Drosophila melanogaster: one gene and its partners. The protein of the gene in region 1 interacts with the protein of each later gene in a pairwise test. Each region holds a gene or a part of one and is shown on either strand. Other genes may lie near its edges. The genes, in order: cmb, CG2017, CG11380 and CG3104.

Region 1 (7,661 bases):
AGGGAGTCATTGATGACGGTGTTGTTGTGCGTCTGATTGCGAATGCGTTTGATAATGTACTCGATTAGTTCGTGATCCGGTGCCAGTTCTATGCTGGTCCCTGGTCCTGATCCCGAGCCAGAGGCTTGTTCTAGTTTTCCCTCGAGGATTTGCTGGTAAGGAAGACGCAATTATGAGTTAATCGATCCAGTTTACGAAAGCCTTTCTTACCTCTTCGTTCTCGGTCCTAAGAGAAGAGATAACAGCAGAAGCACTGTCCTCCATTTCATCCAGGTGCTGCCCGTTCTGTGGATTGGACAAACTTAGCTGCTTCACTGGCGTTCCTTTTTCGTCCTCGGGCCGATCGTTGTCTAGCTGCAGACGCATTACCTCTAGCGGGGTTTCACTGCGACTCTCGGTGGCCTCGGCGTCGCCAGTAGGTTCGTTCTCCTCCTGGTTAAGAGCCTTTCGCAAGCCGTGTGGTTCATGTGAGTGCTGCAGCTGCTGATTTTGTTGCTGTTGTTGTTGCTGCTGCTGCTGCTGCTGCTCGAAGAGTGTCTCCAGCCGGCGGTAGACATCCTCCTTGATTGATTCATAAAACTTTGTGGTGAACTTGTCGTTCTTCAGAGCGTTAACCAGCAGATTTCGATTCAGTTCCTCGGAGGCCGTTTCCTCGGTTTGCTCCATGGCATTTGATTCGTCCGCGGGCGATGCTTCTTGTCCGAGCGTAGGAGTAGTGTCCACTGGAGTAATCTGGGGTAGCTCGATGTAGTCCATGTAGTGAGCTGGAAGTTCGAAGTCGAAACGAAGATGTCGCTGCTGCAGAGGAGTAAGCGACACAGTCGAAGTGGTGGGCTTTGCTGGTACCTTGTTCCGCTGATACAGCGGACTGTTGCCATAGTTTACGTTCATGTTGAGATTGGAGGAGCTAGCCTGCTCGGACTCATCATCCCGCAGCGTGGAAAGCTGAGGACGGCGACGATTGCGACGTCGACCCGAGCCGAATATGACGTTATCATGGTTCTCCTCCACCTCGTCCACATCCTCATCGTCGTGGTCGCGAATGTGGCCTGCATCATCGCGCCAGTCCCTTTTTCTGCCCGAACTGCCGCTGTTGTTGAGATTATTGCTGCCATTGGAGCTGCTGCCATGCAAAGCGGTTAGTGGCGCCTCGAAAAAGTGACGACGCTGCTGCTGGTGGGTCAAACCACCACGCGTAGTAGGCGGAAGCAACTGGGGCGGCTGAAAGTAGCTGGGACGTGCCCGTTGTCGCCGATACTGCTGGAGGTCCACGTTCAGCTCCTCGTTGCTTTTATTTGATAAGAGATTTTGGCGCGAATGGCTGGAAGAGCGTACAGATATTAATGGGTTAATGCAAGCGGGTAGCAAAGAATCATGCAGTTGATAAACTAGCTAAATCTAGTGAGCGTTACTAAGTTAAGTTTTTCTATTCCATATATCCTTTTTAAATTGAATACACATCTTTTATAAATTAGCTTTGTTTACTGCCGAATAGGCACTTGCAAAACTTGGTCAGTACTTGGAGTTAGTCTTGGTTAGTCACTTTCAACTCTGTTAATGGGACACTTATCTGCAACGCGTGGTCGCACTTACCGGTGCACAGAATTGAAAATTAACTCTTCACAATAGTTTTATTTAATTTTTATTGCTTTTGACCCTTTTCCATCAAACAACCATTAATAAATCCAACACCAAAGTTATAAAGCATTACCTGCGGAAGTTGTCCCAGTAGTTGTTGGCTCTGTTTCCGGGTGGTACTTGATTGTTCAATGTAATACCGCCACCAGGTGCTCCTCCACCAGCTGCTCCCTCGGGCAGCGAGTGCAGATTGTTGGCATGCTGGTTCTGGGTTCGCAGATTCGAGTTGTTCTGATGTATCGTGTTGTTATGGTGGTTCATGAAGATGGGACCTGGACTTGAGCGGTAAGTAGGCGGCGACAGGGGTGTCTCGTTGTTGAAGTGCGTCGGCGGTGGCGGGGGAGCAGCATTGTTAAGGAACGGCTGCGCCTGATGCTGCTGCTGTTGATGATGATGCGATTCTGCCCCGCTACGATGACAGCTGCGCTGATAGTTACTAAAGGCGCTCTGGTGGGCACCAAAGTTAAATAGCTGCTCAGATTGAGCTCGACTGCTGCCCAGGCACAGATTGTTGGGCATCTGACCCATTCCAGGGCCCACCGGAGGCGGTACTGATTCCGAGCGCAAGCCGAAGCTGTGATCCTGGCATGCTACAACATTAAATCGATCCTGGAGCTGTGAAAAAACACTTGAATTAGTCTTTGATTAGGCTCTCTAATCTCATGGATTGTCTTACCGCATGTAGCTGGTGGTTGAGGTTGTCGATTTCGCGCTGTTGATGCCACAGTGCCTGGTTGCACTGGCACACAGAGTTGATAAGCATTTGCTGCGTCTGCATGAACTGCTGCAGCAGAACTGCGTCGGTAGAGGCATTCGATCCGGATCCATTTGAGGAGCCCCCTTGTTGGGCGGCTGGCAGCTTTTTAAACTCTGTGCCGGCACTGGAGCTCGGCTGACCGTAGACGGGCTGCTGTCCATGCCACGAACTTCCAGAGTTGTGTGATGCTGCTAGCGGATGCATAAAAATAAGCGTAAAACGAGGAAACTAATACATGAATTCAAGTTGGTAAAGTAAAGTTGGTAAATTTCCGCCTTTGTTGGTGGAATTAAAAACGTACCCCACATTCCAGGCACTGGTTGCATGGGGGGCGGCATGTACTGCGATCTATTGCTGCTGGATGGTATGCTGTCATTACCCAGGGATAGCGTATCAAGTGTCACATTCAGGTCATCTTCGTTTAGCGTCGACGGAGGAGCAGGCGGCGGTGGTGGTGGTGCCTGCTGTGGGGGAACGTTAGGTTGCTGACCTCGTCGTTGCTCCACCACTGTGTTGGCGGATGGAGCCCTCTTTAGGGTCGCTGAGGAAGCGGTACGTACGTTGGCGAAGTACTTATCGCTGTCAGTGTCGTCGTTTGCCTCGTCATCCGCCTCCGATGTGGTGTTGTTACTGGCTACGTAACGCTGCTCCAGTTCCCGCTGCTTCTGCTCGTATTCCGTTCGCAGGCGCTCGCACTGCGAGCGCAGTTCATCGCGCAGTTGTTCCTTGGTGGGCGTAGCCTGAAGAGAATTATCCACTTCGGATGGATCCTCTTCCTCGGTCATCCGCTGTCTCATGGGGGTGGGTGTTGGGGTAAGACTGCTTCTTTTAAGTGCATCATCGCCCATTTGAACAGCGGCGGCCGCCTGTTGTTTGCGTCGCTCAATCTCTGCCTTCAGGGCTAGGATACGGTCACGCTCCTTTTGCAAGCTTGCTGCTTCCGCTCTCAGTTCGCTCGTAACATCGTTCAGAGCGAATACGCGCTGGGCAATCTCGGCCGGCAATTCGCGCTCCACGCTAGTTCTTTCCTCACTACGCCGCTCTAAGGTGGAGCCCATGCTGGGAGTACTTTCTTCAATCTGGCTAACAGTGTACAGCATTCCCTTTAGTCTCGCCATCTGAGCCTTGAGTGCTTCTATATCTGCCGTCTTCTGGTTGATCATTGCCTGTGCGTGAAGTGCCCGTTGAGCAGCGTTGGCCGCCTCCTGGCGTATGATGGGTACGTTTCTCTGATACTCCACAGGAACAACACGCTCCTTGGGAGCCGCTGGGGCAGCCTCCTCTGGCTTGGGAGGAGGCGTGGGAGTCTCCTCTTTCTCTTTGATGACTCTAGCAGTCTCCCTGGCCGCACGGTTGATGCTGTTTAGTTCGTCCACCAGATTGCGCATATCCTCACGTTGGGTGCGCAGTGATTCCAGTTTCTCCTGCAGGGCTTCCTGCTCGGCCAGGATCTCGGGCCCATCATCGCCAAGCACCGTGCTCAGTTCGTTCTGGTTGTGTATAAAGGCGGTGAGATTCTTCATGCGCCCCACCAGCGACGCCATGTCGTCCTGTACCTGCTGCACGGACTCGTATTTGGGGGCCTCTCCCCCATTGACATTGTGGGGTAAGCTATCGGCTTGCTGGCGCAGCCGCTCCATCTCGTTAAGGTGAGTCTTGGCCAAATTTTGGATTTGTAACAGCTTCGCCTGTTCGTCGTGCAGGTGCTGCATGTTCCTATTGGAGGCTTCCAAGCGCTGCTGCAACTCATCGAAGCTGGGCGTGGTATCGGGCGTGGGCGTTTCCAAGACGCTGTGTAGGGACTGAATGGATTGGGCGCGGTTGTCGCTCATCTGAAAGGTACAAATGGTTTGAGTACTAGAAGGCAGACTTTTGGTTTTATTAACCAACTAACCTCGCTTAATGCAACATCCTCCAAGCTGGTCGAATTGACTACGCCTTCACCCTGATCCGAATTTGGGTTGATTTCGTGCACCATGTTGTTCGTCTGGGGCAAGAATTAAAGGATTTAGTTTCATTTATTATTACGATATAAAAAATGTTATTATCAATCTTATAAATGTTATAAATGTACGGCTCACTTGAAGTTCCTGACACAAGCTTTCAAACTCACCTCTACAACTTTCCTACTCGGTTGATATCTGCTATTCAGGTTCTCGTCTAATCCTAGCAGGGCGCGTAACACGTCAACCTGCGAGCGAAAACCTTCGGTTCTGGGAGCAAAATGGTGTACACCAAGAAGTCGGTGAACGAGTTGTTGCAGTCCAGCGGGGGTCAGTGGCGGTGCCTGCTCCTCGTTGCCACTCAAATTGCCGTTTCCGTTGCTGGTAGTTGCGTTCGGTATGACCACACCTACTGTGGCATTCGGAGGCGTCGATTGACGCAAACGCAGCAAAGCCGTCGAAGATGAGGGGGCGCCTGTGCTATTAGCTGACGAGGATGGCTGGTGCTGAACCCTCTGGACAGGACGGACGGGGAATCGATAGCGCTGCTGCTGTTCCTGCAGTTGCTCTGTAATGGAAAATAGCCAAAGATCAGTATGGATGTTTAGGTCCATTGCTAAATACTGCGCTGCGAACTACATCATCTCAGTGGGCGTTTATTTTCGTGCGCATCTTATTTATAGAACATGAACTGGCGCACCGATCTCTGTGTGGGCCAGGCCGATCACTTTGCCAGGTGCGGATATTGGAAATTGCTCAATTAAATGTGTATATTCCTCAACGGTTTCAGGACCCATTACCTGCTGTATCGTAGTTGCCGTGTTCGGCGGCCAACTGACGCAGTGCCTCGCGCTGCTGTTGCTGTTGTGCAGGCGACCTGTGATCCTTGCTAGACAGATGCTGCTCCGCCGGCGATCGATTCTTGGCGTTGGTGATGCGTGCTCGCTGGAGGAGATCCTTTAAGCAACAGTAAATGAAGATTAGCAGGAAAACCAGCACGAGGATTGCGGTAATTTTGCTGATTTTAGGTCTATATATATATATCTATTTCAGATATATATATATATATGTATAAGGGCGCTGCTCTGGCCGATCGAAATTCGTTGTCCGCAGTGGTTGAGTTCGCATTCGCTACTGAGCCAGCGGCTAACGAATTTCCGCAGGTCGCGATGAGTGTAAAGTGTATTTATAAAACCAAGAAGAGAAAGGTCTTGGTGTCTTCTCTTCGAGAAGATTTGCCATGGCAACCAGACGTCCGTCTAACTTACATTCAGAGTTTTCAGCGTCTCCCGCTGCAGCGTCTCTGGCTCGACAAGTTCCATGTCCGGTTCGCCCAGGTGCTCCTGCTGCCGGCGAGAGCGGGCCGACCGGCTGGATGTCACAGATGCACTCGACCCGGACGTGGGTGCTCCGTTTACAGGCGTTTGTTGTTTAGGCACCGCACCGGTTGCCCCGCCCACCGAGTTGTTGTTGCTGCTGCCATTGCTGCGGGCGCTGGCGTTGGCTTGGTCCACAACTACCTTGGGCGGCGGCGCCATTAGAAAATATATATATATATATTTGCGTACAAAAAACGACGCTACAAAATTGAAAAAACTCCTCTTTTTTGTACTCCCACTTTGTTTTTTTGCTTTGCGCACTCTGACAGCTGTTCCCAACCAGGGCTGGAAGCTAGTTAACAAGCCTACCAAGTTATGGTCACACTGGCAGCGGACGTTTTTTGAAATCGAATGTTTTCTAAAATTCAAAAATAAATATTATTTTTAGTTTAAAATAAAATGTATATCTGTAAAAAGTATTTTAAATGCTTTTGGTGTAGATAAACTAACGTTACTTGGTAATTTGATATCTTTTAAGGATAATTATTTATTTGGAGATTACTTTATAATATGTTCCTTGGATAATAAACATTATATGACTAGAGCCATTTTCCCTTTCAAGTTTGGACGTGCCTACTTTCCCTGCTTGCGCTGGATGATGTCCTCCTTGAGCGCACGAATCCGATCCCTCTCCGCCCGGAGTCCCACCGCTTGACCGCGTAGATCACTGGTGAAGTCCGTGAACATGTTAAGCATGGAATTCAGGAGCTCGGCGTTATCGGGAGCACTCGACGAGGTCGATGGATTCTCTTCTTGGGCACTCTCTACGGCCTCGCTGGCCACTCGGACTTCTGACGAGGTGGTCTGCCTGCTGGTCTGAACGGAGGTGGAGCTCTGGACCTGTACCGTTTGCCTGGAGGACATGTGCTCCTCGATCATCTTGGTGGTGTCCACCATGTTCTGCACGCGCTTAAACTGCGCCTTCAGGTTGGCGATCTCGTTTAGCTTCTCCTGCAGATAACTGGCCTGCTCCTCTTTGTCCTCCCCGCCCTCTTCCTCACCAGATGGTGCCTCTTCCCGGTTTGTGAACTCTCCAGAAGCACTGGCGGATGAAGCAACTGTTACTGTCTCCGATGAGGATTCAACGTGGGACTGAACCTCCTCCTCCTCGGTGGACTGCCGCACTTGTCGGCGCTGGGCATTCAGAAGGGTCAGCTCAGCGGCTCGTAAGCGCAGTGTCTCCATCTCCTCAAGCAACTGGCGGTGCTCCTCCTGCATCTCTTGCAGCTGTCTGTTGGAAGCAGCTAGGCGCTTAAAAAATACAAATAATTAGTTTTGAAAGCTTCAATAATGAAAAAATTGGTTTAAAAACATCATAGTTCAAAGACTACATTAGGGCATCAAAAGAAAAATGATTTTGTATATTATTATTAAAAAACTCTATTTTTTAGCTCACTGGTATAGAAAAAGCTTCGTACTTAAATTTCATTTCAACTGAAACATCTAGAGACTGTAGGCTTATTGGTGTGACTCATTCATTTTGTTGTCTAAAAAGAATGTGTCACGGTATTTATTTAACTTTACTGACTGTGTTTTCTTATTGTTTTAAAACACTTAAATACTAAGAGTTTTGCAATTTCCCGAAGACTCCAGCTTACCTCGCTCAAGGCGGCATTGTCCCCATTTTGAGGCCTATTCAGTTCGTTGACCATTTTCTGGGTTCCTGAGGAGAAGAGGGAATACTTGGTGTTATGTATATCGTGCACGTTGATTATTTTCTCAATACAAACAAAGGCCCATCGCAAGGCACTGTCTATAAATAAATGGCTCTTTGTTAAATTATTTTTCAGTTAGAATAGTGTCAGTCATCTTGGCATTTTTGAAGACAAAACTAACAAGTGCACTTATGAAAATGTACACCACAATACACCACATATATTATACTTGAAAATGCTACCTTTTAATCGTATATTCGAATCCTCCGAGCGATGAGCTGTGCGCACA
Region 2 (6,354 bases), on another chromosome or scaffold:
CAGCTGGACGAGGACGATGTCTCCCACATCGAAGTACCCTTCTTTGGTCGTGCTCCACCAAGGCGACACAACCAGCTGGGAAAGCTGCGCTCTGTCCACCAACAGGACGACGGAACCATTATGGCCATCTGTGCCACAGGCACCTCCACAAAGGACTCATTGCTCTCGTGGATTCGCCTGTTGGAAGCGAACGGAAATCCCTCCATAGGAGAGGTGCCCGTCCTCTTCCGGTTCACATCCGAAGTGCCAGCCAAGGCGGAGGAAATTGAAGGTGGCGCCAGTGTCCCGGCAACAAGTGATAACAGTAGTCAAGATGAGCACATTAGCAGTAGACAGAAATAAACAAATTGTTGAGCACTTTTTCGTCTTTGTATACCATAGAATTGATGGTAAATGTTGCTTAAAGTTAGTCGGTTTTGATCATATGTACATATATATGTACATCTGCTAGAAGGAAAAAAATTAATACTTCGGTAATTATTTATACTCTTTGGCTCGGACGCGAATTGAAAGCAACATTGTATGCATTTTGGGGTGGATTTTAATGAAATAAGGTTAATTGAGAAGGATTACTCACAACATCCGATTGTGAGCCGAGCTTAAACGAAAAATCACAGAACCCGAAACTAAGTGTACAGAAGATCTGCCTAAGATTTAACGCCTCCCTCTAATTGCTAATTAAGTATATGTACATGTCATCTTTGTTTGAGATATATAGATATGTCATTGGAACTATCCATCTGGCCCGCTTCTCTACTTTATGCCTGTCTTGTTGACCGGAAACACCTGCGTGACAACTCCGATTCCTTTGCTGGTGCCCTCGCGGAACAGGATGCGCATTCCAGGACGCACGTACTCCGGGTGGCCGACGAACTCGAACATCACCGAAGCACAATCGTTTGTGCCCAGTCGCTCGCCGCCCATAATGCCCCGAATGACGGCCGTCTGGCGAATGCTGCCTATGTGGACTGTGGTTTGGAAGCCGACATAGATGGCCGTGGCGTGGAACAGCACGGACACCTTGGCCTGCAAAGGGAAGTTGATGTATTTATTTGGTAACGATAAATGAAAACTAGCAACTCACTTGGAAGAAGAAGGTCCCGTAGGGCTCATCCAGACTATTTCCAATATCACCCAAAAGAACCATGCCACTTCGTAGCGTGGGCACATCCTGATCCATACTGAAAGACAGCGAAGCGCTCTGACCAGCTCGGACAACTCGGCAAGGAGCCTTGTTTCGGTGGATAGTATTAACAGTAACGGGATGAAAGCTACCATCGGGAAGCGGACCAATCTTCATTGCCATATTCTCGGTCAGCACGCCCTGGACAAGTAGACCGCCCACAACGGGTCCGACGTCAGAGACCCGGAAGATCTCGTCCACCTGGAACTCGCAAGACTCCTGCTCGAGTCGATCCTTCTCGGCGTTGCTGATTCCGGGCGAAAGGACGTACAGAAACTTTGTGACTAGGTTGAGTCCCGTGCCGGTCACATTCGATACGCAAAAGATGGGCACAATGTTCTCGGAGATCTGGTTTGACCCGGCGGAGATGGCCTCATCCGTGTTGGTCACCACAAAGGGAACCTTCCGGCACCCAATGGTGGTGAGCAGGTTGCACAACTCCTGTACCGTCGCGTCCGGCGATGTGATATCTGTCTTCGTGACCAATACAAAGAAGGGCATGTCCAGTGCCCGCACGATAGCCAAGTGCTCCTCGGTGGTGTCGTTGCAACCGCTGCCCGCCGATACCACCAGCATGGCGTAGTGGGGTGAGTATCCACTCAGTGCCTGCACGGTGGTGCGCATGTAGCGTCGGTGTCCGGCTAGATCCATGAAGGTAACCAGCTTGCTGGACCTGTCGCTAATCTCCTCTGCCGTCATCATCTCATTGTACTTGTAGTTGACCACATTACCCAGTGCATCGAAGCCAAGCGTCTCGTGGGAGATGCAGGAGGTGCGGCCTTAAGGAAAAGAGGAGCAAATTGGTAATTTTCAAGCAAACAAACCGGACTTTGTGAGTGATAAATATAATTTAAAAAAAAGTTTGTAAACGAGAGATGTATGAATAATGTAGTACAACTGATATATTCCTTATTGATGACAATTTAAAATGGATGCCAAACATCTTAATTTAATTTATATCTGTGTTTAGTGCTTATAACGACATATTACCAGACTGAATCTCGTGCATGTGCCTAAACATATTGAGCCGCGCCCGGCCGTGTCCGTTATCCAGCTCGTCCTGTGTAAGCACGCCCAGCAAAGTGGATTTGCCTGCATCAGCTCCGCCGAGCACCGCCACCCGAACCTCGATGTTGTGCTGGTCGTCGGGGATCTTACGGACCAGTACCTCGGCGACGGCGCGTCGGGCGGCGATGGTCTTTCGCCGCAGCACTGAGGTACTGGCTCCTAGGCTGTGGGCCATCTGCTTGAGCGTGGTGAGCGAGGCATTCATGTCCTTGTCGCTGAGTCCCTGCAGATAGCCGGCGTCGGATACTCCAATCTCGTAGATGGCCTCGCCGTTTCCCTCGCGCAGACGCCACTTCATCTGGGTCACCAGGTGCTCGAATCGCTGCTTCGACGGGTTGACCAGCTTCAGCTTGTACTCCACATTTCCGAGCTGCGGCTCTGGTGGCAGCATTCCCTGCTCGAAGTCGAAGATCAGGTTGCCCCGCTCGGTGGGCATCCCGCTCACTACGCTGCACTCGTTGGCATTGGCGTCCGTCTCATAGTCGCTGCTGCTGCTTCCGCCGCCGCTGCTGTTGCCATTGAGCTCGGGCTCTTCCTCGAAGCCGTCGTCCTGATTGGGATCAAAGAGACTCAGGAAGGACTCCATAATGTGTTGCTGCAAAAGGGAAGCGTGGATCATATAAATACAAAATTCAGATGAGGTAAATGGTAAAAATTCTGTTTAGACAAAGGAACTCTTTGTCTTGAGAAGAAAACATTTTTTGGGCCAATTGCGACATCGAAAATGTACATATGTACATACTTATGTACATACATACAGATTTTCGAACAGCCGTGGCTGAAATAATAGCAATGAGATACATGCATAAGTAAATATTATTTGATTTGTTTACTCATACTGTACTGTATTTAGTCTGAGAATTACCCAATATAATTGGGTTGAAATAACTTTTAATATTGTACTAAAGTTTTTTTAATTTTATTTCGACACCACGTCATTTGTTTCACTTTAAAAACAATTATTTTTCAACTTCTATGTATCTTTTTGATGGAACCGTTTGCTTATGTGTATCCATCAAAACTGAAATTTTCCCCATTTGTTTTTTTGGCCGTCTTTGACTTGCAGCGACCTTGAAAATGCTTGTTTATGTTTGCCACGACTCTGGCCGTTGTTTCGAGCCCACGCGCGGGGGCAGGTGGAACAGAAGGTCGATAATACGACAAGTTCCAAACATCTTACCAGATAATCCCTATATTTGGCTCACTAATCAAACCAATCCGCTCGAGTTTATTCGAGATATTAAGCGCTAAAGCAGCTCCTATTTGCGCGCGACGCTGGCACAAAATATCGATTTTGGCTGCGCTTTTCATTTGCCCAGGTCGAATTTGTTGTTCGTTCGGCTATCTGGGTTCTGAGTGCTGTGCTTTGTAGTTGTAGTTCGTAGTTGTGTGCGTACTTGTGCTCTCCGCTTTTGGGTGCCTTTCGATTTTGTTTATAACCTGCTCCCGATTGTTTTGCTTTGTTGACCGAAGAACAAGCACCTGAATACTTCAAAAGCTTTCGCAATACCTTACCCTAGGGCGTTTGAGTTCTTTCATGGAACGTATTTTTTGTTTAGCAAGTGGGGGTTGAGCTTAAAAAAATTAACTTAGTGAATTTCCACAAGAAGAAAGTTACCTAAATATTTAATGCGGGATGTTATTACGAACCTATTTAATTACTAAAGCTAACGATAAATGGTAAATTTATAGGTTTTAATTCTAATTACTTTATTTTTGCAATTAGAAGGCAGGATATACAATGTTTAATTACGTCACACGCCATTACGTCCTTCGACACTGGAACTATAAAAGTTAACTTTTTCACGATTTTGATGCGAAGCCGCGACGTTTGATAATTTTATTCAACAATTAATGCTTGGCTTTCCACAATTCAAACACACCTCTTTAGTTCTACGATTGTTGTTCAAATAAGGAAACTTAGTTTAAAAACGAACCTTCTTAATTGTGAGATAACTCCCACACAATTAAATTATTACGTTTTATGTAGATACGCAATCTGTGTTGCGTAGCGGATTTCTGATCGACCAGACCCTTTCCTTTTTCGGCGCGTAGTTTTGACAGCTTTTCGCGTCTTGTCCTCGCCGCGTTTGCTTCGCATTTGATTTTCTACACAAGCGCTTTTGTTTTGACCGCGTCAGCTGCGTTATTATTCTCTATCTCTATCTCGAAATTGATTGAGGACGCTTCGCGGAAAGCTCCTTTCCGTTTGAATTCCGGGAAGTAACTGTCGCGTTTACCGAATTCATGCAACCAACAAACAAAAGCTTGGCAAGCATAGAGCGGAATTTCACAAGAAACAAAAATCGCGCTGCGATTTCATCAGCAAAACAAAAATGGAGTCAATGTGCTGCACTTACGCAGTTGCTGATGCAATACTGCGCCACAATGCGCGGATCTTCAATGGTCTCTGTGTGGGTGTTGCTGTTCGTGTTCGATTCACGTTGCCATGGCAATTTTGCACTCATGTGGGTTAAGCACTCACAACACACTTCAAATTTCGGGGACGCCAAAGTTGCGCCAGCAATCCAATCAATTATTATAAACCATAAACTTCCTACATTTTGTGACTCCGACAAACAGATGTTTATGCTCGCCACGCGTTAGTCCCTTTTGGACACTGACCTATCCAGTTGCTGCGCACCCTTACCAACACTGGCTGACGGGGCGTCCATTGTGAACGGCACACATTTTTCAAATTTAAATAGTAACGTATTTTTAACAATAAATGGGGTTGCGAAGGCGGTCATCTGCATGTCCTACATTTCCATACTTTACTTTAGTACTTTAGTGTTGAGAATTCGTTTTGGTAAATTTTACTCAAATAAGTTTATTAGCCAGCATAGAACTTAATTCCAATCTCGATGGAGCTATCTTGCAAGCTCAAAAACATCTGCTTTGCTACAAAATAATTTTGTATTGGTATCAAAAAATCATTCAAATGAGTGAAGATATGGTAACGTTTTTAGATTGCTAAAAAAAGAATTTAGGAAACCTTGTGCCTCCCAGCAATGAAAATACAACTCGAATTGCTTTAATTCAAACTCAATGTATTCTCATTAATATATTTACGTTTTATTCCTTATCATTAACATTATTACTTTATCACAAATATTTTAAGCATTTTTACATATGTAGTCAGTTACAATGATGTGTATATGTATGTATGTCTGTCTGTTTTCGGGACTTGGGCTTGCATGTATGTATGTACATCGTTGACCTCTCTGAGGCTCATAAAATAGTATCTGCTGACCTCGACATGGATCATGGGGATGTCGTGATGCTACAGGTTGTTGGGGATCGTTTTAAAATTGCACTACTGGCACTCGATTTTGGTTATCTACAGCGGGGACCTTTACTATATATGTATAAACTTGGAGGAAGTTTACGATTTGCTCTACCAGTTACCTGGATGCTATAACTTTTACATTTAAACATTATGACATTACATTGATTTTACTAATCGCTATCGATGACTTAGCATATACATTTCTTTTTTTCAATTACGTTTTTTCGATAGAAAGTCAAGAACTGAATCGCCCAACTGATATGACAAACGTTAGAACACTTATAGTCGTTTAGCCCTTGTCTTGAGTATGATATAGTCGTATAGCATTTCCGATGTGCTAATGCCTTGATAACAATTGCCAATGAAAGGGGGATGATAGGGTGGTGGGGGGGTGGGGGCTACGCTCCCCTCTTGAACTGCCCCAATCCTGCGAGCTGGGCCGACCCATTCAATATCCAATAAATAATGCTCAAGAATACATTCGTTGTGTATGTGTGTGTGTGTGTGCGTGCTCAGGTCCAACTGGTTGGCGTTCGTCAATGAGGTGTCTGTCTGTCGGAATTGGCCGGAATCGGGCCCATCAAATGGCCATCTGGAAGTGGAACTCCGTGCCTTTTATCCCTCTTATCGCTCGACCCGCATAAATCATTTTATTAGCTTATTAAAAAGTTTTCCATTTATTGTCATCGTTTTGCGCTATCGTGCGCACAAATCCGTGCCCAGTTCTATATACCCATTCATTTGGGATGGGGTACTCCGGATTGGTGATTCGGCCGGCAGCATGGATTGGGATATTTTTCTAAACTTTTCTTTA
Region 3 (7,601 bases), on another chromosome or scaffold:
CCTTTCGCTGTGCCGAAAAAGTGAAAAGCACCTGCTTTAAGATCTGAATAAACGATTGCTACGTCCCAACAATGGACCCATAAAACGTCAGCTTCACCAGAAACCACTCCACAACAAGCAGCCACTGTGTAGCACAGATCATATAAACTTATTTTATGTACAATGATGCTGTGCATTTGAGGATCTTGTTGCGCTGAACTACAGGTATAGTCACACACCCAGAACTCTTGCCATGCTAACTACTTGACTTGATAGGGAAAAGAGAACTCTTTGGAATGGCGAGGGCCATCATCCTCGCAAATTTCCTCCGGGATTTTCCCCGCATTTTCCAATTGCGTGCCTGCTAACAATTCGGTGTATTTAATTTAACAAAAATTTGTTGTAACACTCGTGTCAAAATCGTTCAGCTTTTAGTACTTCAGTTACGCCGGATTTGATGCTATTTTTATGGCTTTGCTGCGTGACTTCCGTGAATTGGCCAAATATTCGAATAAAATGGAAAGAGTTATTTGGTTTTCAAATTAATTTCTTTTCGGTTTAATCATACAAAAATACAAGTACATAATATAGGTAAATCAAGAAGCACATTAAGACTAAATATTGCACACATGATCAGCAGCACATTTTCTTGGTTAACAATATAAACAACATAAAAAAAAACGTCGTACAAAATAATGAAAAGCGAATGTGTCCCGGCAGCACCTCTTCGCTAAGAAAAGAAAACTATGCCTATCTTTAGGCGCCCTCTTTTCCGGCCAAAAGTATGCCTTGGCTGTGTAGCTCAGGGATTGCGGGTAGGTGTTGGATGAGATTTGGAGCTGGAGGATCACCCCGGGATCGTTCTGCTCCTCTAGCTTGGAATAAATACTAATGAGCGGATATCAGGCACAAGAAGCAACCACAAATTGTGTGTTAAGAATACGAGTGAACGTGGGCATGGCACTCACTGGAATTTTACTGTCTTGCTGGACTTGATCCCCATATTCATAATGTACGGATGTTTGAATTTGTTTTAAAGATGGCTTGCCTGGATATATACATAGAAAACGTGCGTAAGCGATTTAAAATTTAATTCTAGAATTCTAAGGCATCCGAAAAAACCTTTGATAAAATCGTTTGAAGATTGCCAAGTTTAAAAATTGGTTTAGTTCATCCAGGCAGAGATAGTGCGTTCGGTCAAATGAGTTTCCATGCCTTCGAACATCTGAACATTTATCCAGACCTCAGCCCTCGAGCAGCTGTGTCGTCTTGTATTCGACAGCCGAACCCATTTCAGCGCCCAGTTTCTCCCTCACATACTCCCTGATCTGTTGGAGTCCCTTGTCGCCCGAACTGGGACCCACGTCCCCATCCGCGGGTTCCGGCTTGGCCGCCCTTTTGCCCTGGCGCATCTTGATCGCATGGGCGTGGTAGTTGAAGGGGCGTTCGCCCTCAGGCTGGTGCTGGTGCTCCTCGATGTTGGTGGTCTGCTGTTGCGGTTGATGCTGCTGCTGCTGGTAGGGGTACGGATTAAAAATGACCTTGGTGTGGGTGGGTCGTGGGTTGTTTTCCGTTATGGGAAGGCTGTGGTCCGCCTCCGGTTCCTGTTCAGGACCACCTGAAGGACCCGTCGGTGGATCAGATTCTGGAACGTATATTGGTTGCTGCTGCTGCTGCTGCTGCTGAAGATGATGATGGTGCTGCTGATGATGGTGCTGCTGTGGTTGCGGCTCCGGTTCCGTTTCCGGCTGGGCCATTGCTATCAGATAGAGCTGAGGCTGCTGCTGCAAATGGGATTGGGGCTGAGCGTAGTAGAACTGTGTGGGCTGCTGGTAGTCCATGGGCGCGTAGTATTGTTGCGGCTCATATTGTTGCTGCTGCAGCTGCAGCTGTTGCTGGTGGCGACCCTTGTAGCTCTGGTAGACATCATCGATGGGTGCGTACTGGACGGGTGCCGGCGTGGGTGCCAGTTGGTGGGCGTAGCTGACTTCCTGATGGTAGGTGGCCGGTTCTGGTGGTCCATATTGCTGCGAAGGATCCACATGCTGATGCTGCTGTTGTTGTTGCTGCTGATCGGCCTCCTGGAGCAAGCTGAGGTACTGGGCCGCTCTGATCTCCAGATATTGCTGGAGAAGGGTCTGCAAATGGGCGGCGTACTTGGCGGGTCCTGGAATACGCAAGACAATGACGGGCTCCTGATATCCCCCGTGGCCACTGGAACCACCTGCACCACTGGGACTTTCCGCTTCATCCTGGGGCAGATCAATCTGCGGCTGCTCGGGAGCTGTGTGCTGCGGTTGGGTTTCATAGCTGGTCTGGGGCTTAAGCTCGTAGGAGTACGAGGGCTCAATGGTCACGCTGGTCACTTGCTCGTGATTGTGATGATGTTGCATTGCCGGCTGGTGTGCCTCCTCCTCCTGCTCCTCCGGATGTGGCTGTGGAAGGGCAAAGCCCGAGGGAATATCATGCTGTGAGTATGGATAGAACATGAACTTGGGCGGCGTGTAATCATAGCCAGGATGCGAGTAGCCGTATCTGTTTGGATATAGAAGTTAGATGGGTTAATATCTGGTCAGTCAAAATGCTGTCATCCATGGTCTCACCCCAAATCCCCCTCGATGGTCCTCTTGCTGTTCTTGCCGCCGCTACTCGTGGAATTATCCCTCTCCACCTTGATCTTGATCTTGTTTCCGTGCAGTTTGAACTGCTTGTCCAGCTCCTTAATGAATTCCAGGTCATCCGCCGGCAGATTGCCAAATGTCTCGGTTAAGGCCGGTGCTTTCGTGGGGCTCTTGGTGGTTGCCGATGTGCCGATCTTCACGCGTGGCTTACTGGGCTTCAAAGTGGTTGCTCTGCTGATGGAAATCGGAACTGTGGTCGGCGTTTTTGTTGGTCGCTTCTTCAGGGTGGTAACCTTTTTGGGAAATCCATTGCCCTTTGAGCCACTCGCCTCTGACTGGCTCAAGCTGCTGGCCAAGCACACTATAGCACTAAGAGTGCCCTGTGAAATATAGACAAACACAAGGTAAAATGTTTATCAATTTTATAGGACTTATACATTTAACTAAAGGAATTGCTTTTTTGATATTATTTAAAGCTTAGCTACCAGCTTGCGAGTTGAAACAAACAGGAAGTCTATCGAAGTTAGCTTTTCAAGAATTTGTAACGATTTAAAAATGTTCCAAAGCTGGAAAGACATTAGGTTCGTTGTCGGAATCAACTCAAATCAAATTGTGAAAATTGTTGGTTTCGTTTTGGCCAATCTTGGTTCGGGCTCAAGGTAAGAGGCAAAGACAATAGAGGGTGACAAAGGGGGAGTTGGAGACAAAAGCTGTGGTCCATCTATCGCTCTCAATATCGATCGTTAAGCCATTCGATGCACAACACACGCTGAGAAGAGGTTTCACATTTGACATTTCGTCAGGCGAATTGGTGTTGTAATTGAATCTCGATGTCTTTGAGTTCGTGTCTTGAGTCTTTTCATTTTAGCGCTTGTCCGCAGTTCGTGCCTTCAGTCATTTGATTCGCAAATGGTGGTAGATAACACTAATGGTTCGGTTTTCATCGATCAAATGATGATTATCTGGGTGACGATTATGGGTTACGGTCGCTAACTGTTACTGATACATGCGAATTATGGGTTATTAGCCTGATAATGTTTCATTTAATCCAGTTTAGGCTAGGTTCTTGTCATTACTGATCATTACTCTTTAATTTCAGATTTACGGTTCAAATCGAATTAGCCCTCCAAGTAGCAAAATAGTTTACTGACTTTGCATGCCATAATTGCAGCATGCGCCTCTCCCAGTTTTCCATGTGCAGCAATAATTTCGTACTTCGCTTGGTTAGTTAAGTTTTAATTGCACTTTGTGACTCGATTATCCAGTGAGTGAGTGAGTAAGTGAGTGTGTGTGTTATGTTACCCGAAACTAGGACAGTGTGTCAAGTCATTTTAATAGTCGTTGTCGTCTCTTTACTGCTGGTTGCTTATGTAGCAGTTGTTATTTAGCCTAGTCGTTAAGCAGGAAGAGTTTTTTTTTTGGCACACTCGCCTTGCCACAAGTCAGCCGCAACAGCGAATAGCTGCGGATTTTTGTCAAATGCTAGCATGAGCTGTGGGACCCGAAGAGCGAACTGCTTTTATGTAACCTCCACCGCTCATACAGAAGGAGCAGAGCAGCAACTAGTTAGATCTGTCTTCGTATTGATTTATCTTTACCAATTATTTTCTGTAATAATTTAATTTAATTGCATCAAGTCCCGAAGTCGCCTTGCCTTTCACTTGCCGCACAAAGAATCGAACCGAGTGGACGGGTTGGTGGGCGATTTTGCGCCAGAGATGAGATTCCCATTCCCGCATTGCAAATTACGAGCTACAAACAACGGCAAGTCGGGGCAAACGATCGTCACGCAACGCGTGCAAATTAGTCGGACTTGGATTTTTGCCCAGTTTGTGTGCTGCGGTGTGTTAGTTATTGTTTCACTTTCGTTGTTGCATCACCAGCAGCAGCAGCAGCAGCAGCAGCAGCAGCAGCACAGCAGCTGCTGCAACATCAAAGCCAAGCACAACAATAAAATGTAAATTAGACGTCTACAGATTATCCTGCCAGTGGCTGAGCGGCGCCTTCTCCCCCATCGGATGGGGCGTAATAACTTTATGTAACCACACGAGTGGCGACTCCAGAAAACGAGTCTTTCCAGCGCTGCGAAGGAAAAGACTACATCCAAATATGTGGATAGACTAACAATATGTACGAATATTAATAAAAGTTAAATTAAGCTTCTCGTTCGAACTTCTTTGTTGACATAGTTGTAAAGTGCCCTTATAAATTAAATACACGCTATTGCCTGACATTTAGGTACTTTAGTACGTTGGTTCAAAACTTACTTACTTAATATATCACAAGATGATTTCTTTTATGAGTAATGCAAATAAATATTTATAGCCGCTTGATTCAATGTGAAGACACTTTACCACCTACCACCCCTTAATTTCGTTCAGTGTGCACATTTGCGTAAACGAATCTCTGCTGGCCACTTCGGCAATCGCCAGATTTGTGATTCTACCATCTTAGCGTCCAATTAGTGGGCGATTGACGCAACTCAACCCCACTACTCCTCCATCGTGCTGCTTGATAGATGGATCTGGACACGGACTGGCAAAGTGGGCAAGGGCAGGGTCAGATAGCCGAGAAGCCGAAGGGCAGGAGTCAGTGGAGCGAGTGAAAAGGTCAAGATTATCGAGATATGGAGACACCATAGACAGCGGGAGTTGGGAGTTCATTGTATCGTACACCTGGTCGAGTTGGTTGAACTGCAACCACTTTCTAAGCCGGCTTGGCCAGCACTGCACCACTTGAATGCAAATTAATTTGTCAGCCGACGACTAGTTTTTATCCCGCACAAATTGCACAATTCGATTGGTGGGTGGGTCTATTTTCCGGGTTTTCTAAAGGAGATTGTATAATCTTACTCCTACTCTTACCAATATTAACGCTAATCTCATGGCGATTCCAGGTATCAATGCGCATGCACAGCGACTTTTTCACAAAATCCGAATTTGATATTGACGTTATATGTTATATGTAATAATATATGCACTTTTCAATACATTTGTGTCTTCGAGAACCACAAAAACAAAAAATACCAAGGGTACACGGCCGGGCTGGTGGGTTTAAGTTATGTTGGTTATAGTGTCTATACGAATTTGGTTTTGATTTTCGTCTCAGATTCGTAGTCGGAATCGGAATCGGAGCGGTGCTAGCGTTCAAAAGTCGCGCCTCTTACTGCGGATGGCGCTGGCGATGCTCGCGGTTTTTATATCGCAAGCACAGCATAACAACTTGGTCTTCGGGTTGCATCAAGCTGGAATATCGGCTTCGGAGTTGGAGTTGAAGTTGAATTTTTGAAGCTGAAGCTGAAGCTGAAGCTAAAGCTGAAACCAAAGCCAAAGGCGAAGGCGAAGGCGTATTGTGGACCGGGGATCGGGAAAAGAAGACCGAAGTTCACCACCAATGACACCGCACGTAGCTGTGTGTGACTGAAGGTGTAGGTTGCCTGGGATTGCCGCAACTGTAAACAAAGTGCTGGAGTACTTTAGATGCTGGTCAGATACAGAGAGATAAAATGCGGAGAAAAAAAAGTTGCGGAATTGGGAAGATGTAGTTTGAGGCACTGGAATACGAGTAGGGGAGATGTTACAGATGTGCCCGTTTAAATATTCCTGCCCACTTTGTTCATTGAATAGTTTCCATTGCCATCTAGGCATGGAGCTTCCCGTGCTGAGAATCATAGATGATCGACCTTGATTCGCCATGGGAGAGCAATCTTTCACAAAGGGCCATATATATATATATTTATATATATGATTGTATAGTAGATAACCAGATATGGAGGGAACTGGGAAACCTTTCCAATTTCTTTGGGGACAAAACGGCGACGCTTTTGTCTTGGCTTTTCCAGTTCAAGTTCAAAGCCATAAAAATATTGGCGTAACTTTGGCTTATGACAAAGGCCTGGACTCAAAAGACCGATTCCGGGGCCTTTCATTTCGGGTGAATACGTTTTGGGTTCATTATTATTATTATTTCTGTATTCCGCTGGCCCGCATAAAGCCACAAACCAATCGAAACAGAAACTGAAATTTGCATGAAAACAATTGCAGAGCATCCCATCCAGATGGGAAAAAAAGAGAGTGCCGGAGGTCCGCGAGTAGTGGCACTTTAATTGGCGCATTAAGTTGTTTTCGCTTGGGCTTGGCCTGGGATTTGGAGTGGCTTTTCGCTTTTGGCTTTGCCCAGCGCCAAAGGAGAAATGGCATAACAAGAGTGGCGTTTGTGTTCGGATCGTCGCTGGTGGGATTTGGTAATCCATTTTGTCAAAAGACACAAGACACGACACTAAGCGGACCGAGATAACGATAAAAGGCCGTAGATAACTGAACACTGCAAGCTAAAACCCAAAAACATCATTCGCAATCACGAGGCGGCACTGTCGAAAGTGTTTTTGCCGCCTGGTGGTACCCTTGCATTCGAAATGTGTTGGCCGTTTCAGGGTCGTCGACAATCTCCGAAAGTGACATGGTGAAGAAAGTGCATGTGGACAAAGAATCGAAACATGTTTGTCCATTTAGGTTGAAATAGGTGATGTTTAATCGCTTTGACTCTCCTCCTTTAGGGTCTCCCTCTGTCGGCTAGCTATTTCGATTAAGTTCCCATTGATGGTCGCGCATCGATAAGGAGAATACGCAATTGAAATGCTGGTCAGCCCGCCAGTTCGATGCTCTTTTGTGCTCGGGCACTCCGATCCATTCGATTCCGCCCAATTCCGATGCCAACAATGACCGGAGCGAATCAAAGCCGCGGCTAAGAAAGCATTGCCAAACCAAGCGGCCGAACCTCAACGTTAGCTCGATTTCAACAATTCAACTAGCCATGGCTCATTGTTCAGAGGTGCAACAATGTCACTTAGTCAGCCGTCATAATGCGGCATTATGATTATTTATTGTGCCGGGCAAGTCCCATGCTGATGAAGAGGCCTACGGATCGCATCGCACACAAAGCCAAAATCGAGAAGGCTGACCGTGGGCATCCTCCACAAAGCGCGACCCTTTCTTTATCAAT
Region 4 (7,843 bases), on another chromosome or scaffold:
GGACGTGGCCATTGCCTTGGCGCTGCGCGCCACCATAGTCCGTATGCGTTCCTGGAGATAATCACAGATGGAGGTGTACTTTTGCTGGTGCGCCAACTGCAGGGCCGTCAGACCATCGTGGTTCTTCAGCAGGACATCGCTGCCGGCGGCCACCAGCTGCTTGCAGACGGTCATGTGGCCAAACATGGCGGCGGCATGCAGTGCGGACTCTCCATTGGGCAGCTGGCCGAGATTGGGTCGGTATTTGAGCAGCACGGTGATTACGGCGGCATGGCCCTTGTGAGCCGCCTTGAAGAGGGGCGTGGCGCCGTCGCAACGCACGGTGTCCACATTGGCGCCGTTCTGGAGCAGCACCTTGCATATGTGATCCTGTCCCATCTGGGCTGCTATCCACAGGGGCGTGGCGCCGTCTATCCGCTTGATATCGATCTCGGCACCAGCCTGAATCAGCAGCGACAGAACCGTGCGATGGCCATTTTGGGCGGAGATAAAAACCGGCGTGGCTCGATCCTGCAGAGAAATAGGTCACTGTTAGATTATGCCTCGTCAAGATCTCGGACTACCCACCTTCATGTGCGCATTGACATTCGCTCCGCAGTCCAAGAGCTCGCGAACGATCTTCACGTGACCACCCTGGCAGGCCACAAAAAGGGGCGTGCCGCCATCCGCGGAGGGCGTGTCCACGCTGGCGCCCGCCTTTATCAGAATCTTCACCACGTCCAGGTGGCCGCCTTGGGCGGCGAAGAAAAGGGGCGTGGTGCCCGTTAGGCGACGCGAGTTTGGATCGGCTCCCTGATCGAGCAGCTCCATCACGCAGTAGGTGTGACCTCCGGCAGCAGCCAAAATCAGTGGGGTGGTTCCATCCTGCAAATAATTTTATAAATTAGAAAGATATCTATCTATAGAGATAATAAAAACAAATAGTATATAGAAATGTCTTGGCTTATATACACACATAATCTGTACATGAGTATAATCTTTTAAGGAAATATTAGGGATCATACTACGTTTTTTCTCAATAACAATCAAAATATTAGTTCAAATATGGAATGTCATACCTCGTTGTAATCGTTGCAAAATTCTCTTTCGAATGGCATTCACAGTTCTAAATGTAAAATTTTTGCCATTTTTCGCAAAAAATCATGATGTTACCCCTTACAAAAAATGAAAAAAATGTCAAAAAATTGATTTTCAAAAATCAGCATAAACGTGATAGGGATAGTTAGTTTAGATCAAAAGCTTTAAAAATCAGTCATTATTTCATCTCTGTGACTCATTTAGGCCATGTTATGACCAAAAAACCGCGTAAAATGTCATAATTTGCTTAAGTTTGTACCAATAATTGCCATTCAATCAATGAGCAACAATCAAAACCATAAAATCTTTAATTATACAATGAAACAAAGTTCCAATCGTCTGACATCACAAATTGACAGCTTACGTTTGTTTCAACTTCAAAGCGATAAATTGTTTAATTGTCTAATTGGCCAACAAGTGATTTGAATAGCAATTTGCGATTAGTTTCACCAAGTCAACGCTTAATCGCATCGTGCGGATTTGCATGCAAGTCCGTGGCTCGGACTCATCAAAAACCAAACAGAGGAAAAACAACAGGGGAAATTGAGGCATGTCCCAGCGGGAAAATCACGCCACAACTTGCAAATCGCTCTCGATGCACTCGGTGGTCTGCATCCAAATGGGGGAGTCACGTAGTGCCCACCCTATCCGCGGACTCTTGCAGACCAACTGGCATAATAATATACATATATATATATATATAGAAATGTATATATATACACATAGAAACACAATGGCACACTGCCCCCGCAGCCCACTTTCCTTTTAGTTGGACTTGAGTCCATGCTCCACTGAATGGGCAGCGAAATTTAATTTCAATTTTTATACACTAACAAAAAGTACTATAACTGGGATATTCAGGTGGAAGTATCACTAGTTACGTTAAGTAAAATAGTTAAGATATAATACTAAGGCATTTAGCTTTATTTTCTCAACATTTAAATATTCTTTTCATCTTCGATTGCTAGAGTATTCAAAAGCCTTCTGTTTACTTTTGAAAATTCAAAAATTTATGGCTTTTGTTTCAGTCGCATGTAAGTTTGCTGCATTTTTCGTTTTCCTTGCTAATTGGTGCGTACTTAATTTAGCAACGACGTGTTAACTGATGTTTGCCTCGTAGAGACTTTAAAAAATACTTTGTTTTGGGCTACGATTTCGCAATACTTCACTGACAGCACTTTGAAGTCGCATGTGTCATGCATTAACGATTGCATGTACAAAACTAAAGTGCATTTAACCGACTTTATATAACTGGAAGTCGTGTAATTGCATAAACTGATTTAAATGCTTTTTATAACTTACCTCATCCTTGCAGTCGACATGCACTTTGCCACTGTCCAGAACGCGAAGAAGAGCCACCTCATCTCCCCTCATCGCTGCCATGTGCAGTTGCACATCCGAGGGCGTCTCCTTCTGCAGTCGCAAAAATGAAATTGAAAACGGAATCAAATCAATTATCAACTTGCCCCGCAGCAGCTGTCCAAATAGAGAGATTTTCGGGGAAGTGATACCCGTGCCCCGAGCTTTCTGGCCAAAGTTCCCACTTCATAGCCCCCCCCCATTCCGCATTTGGGCGCCACGTGGGAATATTACTCTTCCTGTTTGCAGTAATTAGGGTCAGAGCAGTGACTAAAAAAAAGTTATTTCGCAGCGGATGTTGTGCCACATTGAATGCATTTTTTCAAAATGAAACCTAACCCTCAGATGGACAGGGCTGTACAGTGAAATGAAATGCAGAGGGCGGCTTACGGGTGGTATGAGTAATATGTGTCGAAATCTAAATATGATGCATTTGTTTTTTTTTTGAGGGTTAACTGGCATGCCAATTTCAGCTGAAGGAGGAAATGCAACAAATATTTTTTCCAGCTAAGTGTGTTTGAAATGTCAACATTGCGTTAATGAAGCGAATTAAGTGGCCCAGATGTGCCCGTGTTTGTCTGTGTGTTTGCTTTTTAGCCAGGTTTCTGCCATTGATGAAGTGGTTTGAAGCACCTGTTGAAAGGCAAAGACAAGTGAAAACCCTTGCATGAAAATGACGTGACTCAAGTTGCGAGGGTAACAATGCAAATGCTGCTGCACTTTGAAGTGACATAATGACAATGAAGACGGTGATGCCATCGTGATAATCACGTTCCTGATGACGACGACCAAGATATATGTTTGTGAGTAGCAGCAGGTGAGAAACACTTTTAAAGCTTCAGACATAATCTGGGCATCAAGATCTGATTTCAATCCATTGAACTCTTTCAATTTTTCTCAATTTCAAATCCATGACAGTGCGCTTAAATCATAGTTCGCAGTTGCCGAAGCTATTCATTTGAGTTTTTCCCATTAAAAGAGCCATCAAACGCGATCCGGTTGAGTCAATTAAGTGTTATATGGGTCAATACCTGAGCATTTACTCACCTTAAGCGACATGCCTGCGCCTCCAAGCTCGCCCGGCCTCTGGATCCCCGGCTGTTTGGTCTATTCCGTGGCTCTCGCAGCAATTGCACCTGCTTACAAGCCCGTTTCCATTGACCGATTTTCCGAACTGTAACGCTGCCCCTCCGCCAGCAGCAGCAGCAGCAACAACGACTTCTTCTGGCCAACTATATAGCTGCTATATAGCAACGAGATCGCTTGGCAAGTGGCACCAAATCAAATCAGATGAGAACCAGCAGCCGCACCAGCAACAGCGGACAACATCAGATGCGGCATCATTGTCCAAGTGCGATTCCAAGTTTAATTCCAAGCGACCAGTTTCCGAATCTCAAGAGCACTGCAAATTGTAAAGAGGAAAAGGAGCACAGCCAAAAGGCACGGGCCACATTAGAATTAAGTTGCTGCGGAAATAACAGGTTTTCGTTCGGCGTAGCTGGGAATTATAGTGCCAAAATGGTAGGAGAGTGAGAAGTTGTAATCTCATCGGGAGGAGTGTCTCGCAAAAGACTGCCCAATCTAAGTTCTGGTGAAAGGTTTAAATTTTAGTCGAAGTTCGGAGTTATCTTATTTTCTGTCAGTTTAGACAGCCACATAAACATTTAGCTAAGCGCTGCAAGACCAATTTAATAATTCATGGAGGGGCAAATTGAATTCCCTTCTATCGATAAGGCTCCCTTAAAGCCAAATGCCTTTTAAGGGGCCATAAAAATCATCAGTGTTTGAAGAGGTTCTCTATATTGCACATGAATGCCATTAATTTGATAAGGTTCACAACTTTGTTGCCCTTCAAATGAATTCCCTTTTCTTGAAAGTAAAGGCTTTGTCTAGATTATTGCAACTCATGCGATTTCCCCTATTGCAAGAGAACAACAATTACTAACTTTTTTGCATGCTGTAATTTCTCCGTTGTTAATAGGAACTCCCCCTGGAAATTGACAGGCGGCATCTCAGATCGCAGCTGACTTGGCTCAATCAACACGCAACAAGCCAGTCACAAAGTGAAGCATTTTCATTTTCTTTTTCATTTTCTGGTCTCTTACTTTGTGGGTACACTGCTTTATTAATTGCATTTTATGCAGCCGCATTTTTTTTTCTGATTTTCATCTACGCTTCTTGCCTTTTTTATGAGCATCATGGTGATGTTTCCCTTGTGCCTTTCAACTTTTGACCTAGAAAGTGTTTTAGTTTTTCGGACTTTCCTCATGCGGCTTTTCATCATCATCGTCTTTCTGGCCAGGCACGCAATGTGTGCTGCTGCTGACAACATGAGTTCAGAGTTTTCTTAGCCTGAGTACGACTCTTAATTGCCCTATTCACATAATTACATTGTGAATGTATCTCAAATATACGGCCGAAACGAAAATTCCGTTAAAGACGGCTTAGCTGAATAAAAGGTATAGTTCCGAAACATTTTAGCACCTTTAGAGCTTATAATATCTGTAGTAATTTTCTTACCAACTTTGTACGCTAAGTTTGTTACAGATAAGCCAGCAAACTGATAAAATATCCGTAATATGCGATACCTCTTATGGTACACGGTTATATCTACTGATTAGATTGTTTTGGCAGCCACTTGTTATTTTGTTTGATTTTAATGATCAATAGCTTTTTTGAAGTCTGGTCACTTTGGGTGGACTTTAACATAATTTATCTAATGTATTTTGTAAGCACCATGATTAGTTTCACTTTCATTTCGTTTCATTTACTATATTGCCACTTTATTACGGGTCTCGGGATCTTTGCTTTCTTGTTTAGGTGCTTATAAATAGCATCTCACGTTATCATGATCTCATTTTATTTCATTTTATCTTTTTGCTCTCGGCTGTACTGGGCTGGTGGCAAACATATTATGCAAAAATATCATAATTTGCACACACAAAAGGTCAACAAGCAGCATAACCACTTGTGAAATCTCACCTCAAGAAGTTTCAGTCGAAAAAACACAACTAACAACAATAAGGCAAAAGTCACGCCGTTTGGGATTTTTGAAATCGAGCGACGCGAAGCGAACCGATTGCTTCCAAAGTTGGCGTCCAACTGAAAAAGCTAAGTCCGAACTCACAATGAAATGCGATCAGAGAGTTCATTGAGTGAGCGACGCCTATAAATAGGCAACGTGGACTGCGAATTCCGCGACATGGCGCGCGATGAAAACAATGCCGCCCACTTGGGGCGCCCCAACAGCCGCACAAACACACGCGAAGTGGCAATAAAAAGTGGGGGTCCGCATCCATTGACGAAAATCGCTGCTGACATCGAGCGAGGTCAAAGGGCAGTCGCGCTGAACGCCCATCCAGCGAAAACAAAATCACAGACTGACTGACTGGCTGTTGCAAAATCAATACTCACATGCTAAATAAGTAAGTCCGTGCAGTTGGGAGCTTGCGAATAATATATATTGAGCCACTCTAATGGGAGCCATTTACTTGATGCGCCCCTAAATATGCAATAGAATTTTCCCGACGCGAAATCTGCAGCCTTCGCTCAGGCCTTCGAAAGTGTGACCAGTCGCTGCTGGAACATGTATCTAATATGTCATTCATTAGATTTTGGTATTTTCCACTAATGCGGGAAAATATATATTTAAATCTATTGATATTTACTTACAAAACCAAGTGAAATTTTTTTTTAATTATCATTTAATTTTAAAATACATTTTGGTGCATAACCAAAATTGAAACATGCCTATTCATTAAAGGGGAATGGAAATATCTTGCAAAAATGTACAATTAAATAAATACCAAAACCTTTGCCAGCTGGTCACCCCAAAACCAGCTGGTACGCAAAACTTCCGACAGGGGGCGCCACGCGCAGCGCAGCCAACTTCACGTCCAGCTGTCATTTCTTTCTCTTTTTCGCCTTCACCGACGAGTTGCGGTCGCTAGATTTGTAAATTTCTACAAAAAAGTGAGTAAACCAGCAGTGGCCGCCACTAAAACTGAATAAAAAGCAAGCTAATTGTGTCCCTTACCTTTCAGCCCAATAAAATGGAGAACGACGCCGGTGAGAATGTTGATCTGTACGTGCCCCGCAAATGGTAAGTGAAACACGTGTTCCCCGCACAATTTGCCGAATGGATTACTGACCAGCCGATACCCTTCCCTGCAGCTCGGCGTCCAACAGGATCATCCACGCCAAGGATCACGCCTCCGTGCAGCTGAGCATCGTGGATGTGGACCCCGAGACCGGTCGCCAGACCGACGGTTCCAAGACCTACGCCATCTGCGGCGAGATCCGTCGCATGGGCGAGTCCGACGACTGCATCGTGCGTCTGGCCAAGAAGGACGGCATCATTACCAAGTGAGTTTGTGCTAGAATCCCCGGGATGGACATCCACTAATCGCGCATTTTTCGCCTTGCAGGAACTTCTAAGCGTGGCGTACCCATAGCTAGATTTTGATTTGGTAATAAAGCGATTTCCCTTTGTAATTTAACGTATAACGTTCGAAATTGTTTTATTTACTTCTGGCATAAACAATGGAATCATTTTTCGGTGGCAGTTAGAACCAGGATTAGCTCAAAGCAAAGCATAACTAAGATGCTTAGTGTGTGGAGTAATTATTCTGACTTCCAATAAGACTTTTCAGCCACTAAGAATTTACGGGTGCTTTCAGGAACCAATTAATTTGATATTTGAATAAGTTCGCCTATGGGAATTCTAGTGTTCTATATCCAAAATAGCATATGCTTTGTATTACGATTATAAACAAACAGCAATCCTTTGTCAAAACAGAATATGAAATATATAACTCTTCGTCCGCAAAAAGTATAAACAAATTTTGAATTTATTGCATAGTATGACCGTTAGTCGAAACAGATAGTTCCTACTTTGTGGATGCGAATTTTTGAGAATGCATAGGTAATCGATAGTGCAATCGATGCTTGGCCATCTCTAGTTCAGCAAACGCGGTCACACTGCAAGTTCAGAGCTCGAGTGATTTTCATCGCGTCGCGAAACGAAAAAAAGTTATATATATATTAAATTTGCGAGGCATAACAACCATTTACCCATTCCTGGGGGCCAAATGTGACGGTGCTGTTGTAGTTGTAGTAGTTTAGGGTACAAGCAGTCGGTTGGTACCACAACAACATAACGAAAACGGAATCCAATTGGAAACGGAAACTGCGCGTCCTTTAAAATATGTGACAAAGAACAACAAAGAGGCAACAAATTGTTAAGCAACTTGCTCAGTTACAAGAATATATAAATGTGATGCAATAGCATAACCATTTCCACACGGACGCCACAGCAACTTGGACAGTATTAGGCAGACTTCGTAACTAGCATATTTTCGCAAACAGTACATGGTGAGTAGTTCCTTACCTTATAGAGCATTACGTA

The links.
Region 2: the proteins of cmb (region 1) and CG2017 interact in a two-hybrid assay, tested with the Drosophila melanogaster proteins (one large-scale study listed by BioGRID).
Region 3: the proteins of cmb (region 1) and CG11380 interact in a two-hybrid assay, tested with the Drosophila melanogaster proteins (one large-scale study listed by BioGRID).
Region 4: the proteins of cmb (region 1) and CG3104 interact in a two-hybrid assay, tested with the Drosophila melanogaster proteins (one large-scale study listed by BioGRID).

The regions. Positions count from the first base shown.
Region 1 is NT_037436.4:13,440,934-13,448,594, reverse strand, and holds the start of cmb (combover), read right to left. Parts: upstream 6,002-7,661; 5' UTR 5,877-6,001; coding exon 5,607-5,876; intron 5,477-5,606; exon of another isoform or gene 5,296-5,476; coding exon 5,139-5,295; intron 4,907-5,138; coding exon 4,509-4,906; intron 4,383-4,508; coding exon 4,290-4,382; intron 4,228-4,289; coding exon 2,697-4,227; intron 2,587-2,696; coding exon of another isoform or gene 2,584-2,586; coding exon 2,315-2,583; intron 2,254-2,314; coding exon 1,712-2,253; coding exon of another isoform or gene 1,708-1,711; exon of another isoform or gene 1,634-1,707; intron 1,322-1,633; coding exon 211-1,321; intron 153-210; coding exon 1-152. Other genes in the region: CG14109 (uncharacterized protein), read right to left, coding at 6,291-6,968, 7,316-7,369.
Region 2 is NT_033777.3:5,857,559-5,863,912, forward strand, and holds CG2017 (uncharacterized protein), read right to left. Parts: upstream 4,848-6,354; 5' UTR 4,720-4,847; coding exon 4,612-4,719; intron 4,345-4,611; exon of another isoform or gene 4,189-4,344; intron 3,747-4,188; exon of another isoform or gene 3,432-3,746; intron 2,847-3,431; coding exon 2,174-2,846; intron 1,963-2,173; coding exon 1,085-1,962; exon of another isoform or gene 1,027-1,084; coding exon 754-1,026; 3' UTR 525-753; downstream 1-524. Other genes in the region: ECSIT, read left to right, coding at 1-342.
Region 3 is NC_004354.4:1,189,577-1,197,177, reverse strand, and holds CG11380 (uncharacterized protein), read right to left. Parts: upstream 5,871-7,601; 5' UTR 5,486-5,870; coding exon 5,465-5,485; intron 2,981-5,464; coding exon 2,583-2,980; intron 2,515-2,582; coding exon 1,224-2,514; 3' UTR 518-1,223; downstream 1-517.
Region 4 is NT_033779.5:2,849,768-2,857,610, forward strand, and holds the start of CG3104 (uncharacterized protein), read right to left. Parts: upstream 6,012-7,843; 5' UTR 5,851-6,011; intron 5,543-5,850; exon of another isoform or gene 4,957-5,542; intron 3,839-4,956; 5' UTR 3,496-3,838; coding exon 3,484-3,495; intron 2,491-3,483; coding exon 2,380-2,490; intron 865-2,379; coding exon 568-864; intron 511-567; coding exon 1-510. Other genes in the region: RpS21 (ribosomal protein S21), read left to right, coding at 6,489-6,538, 6,610-6,801, 6,864-6,873.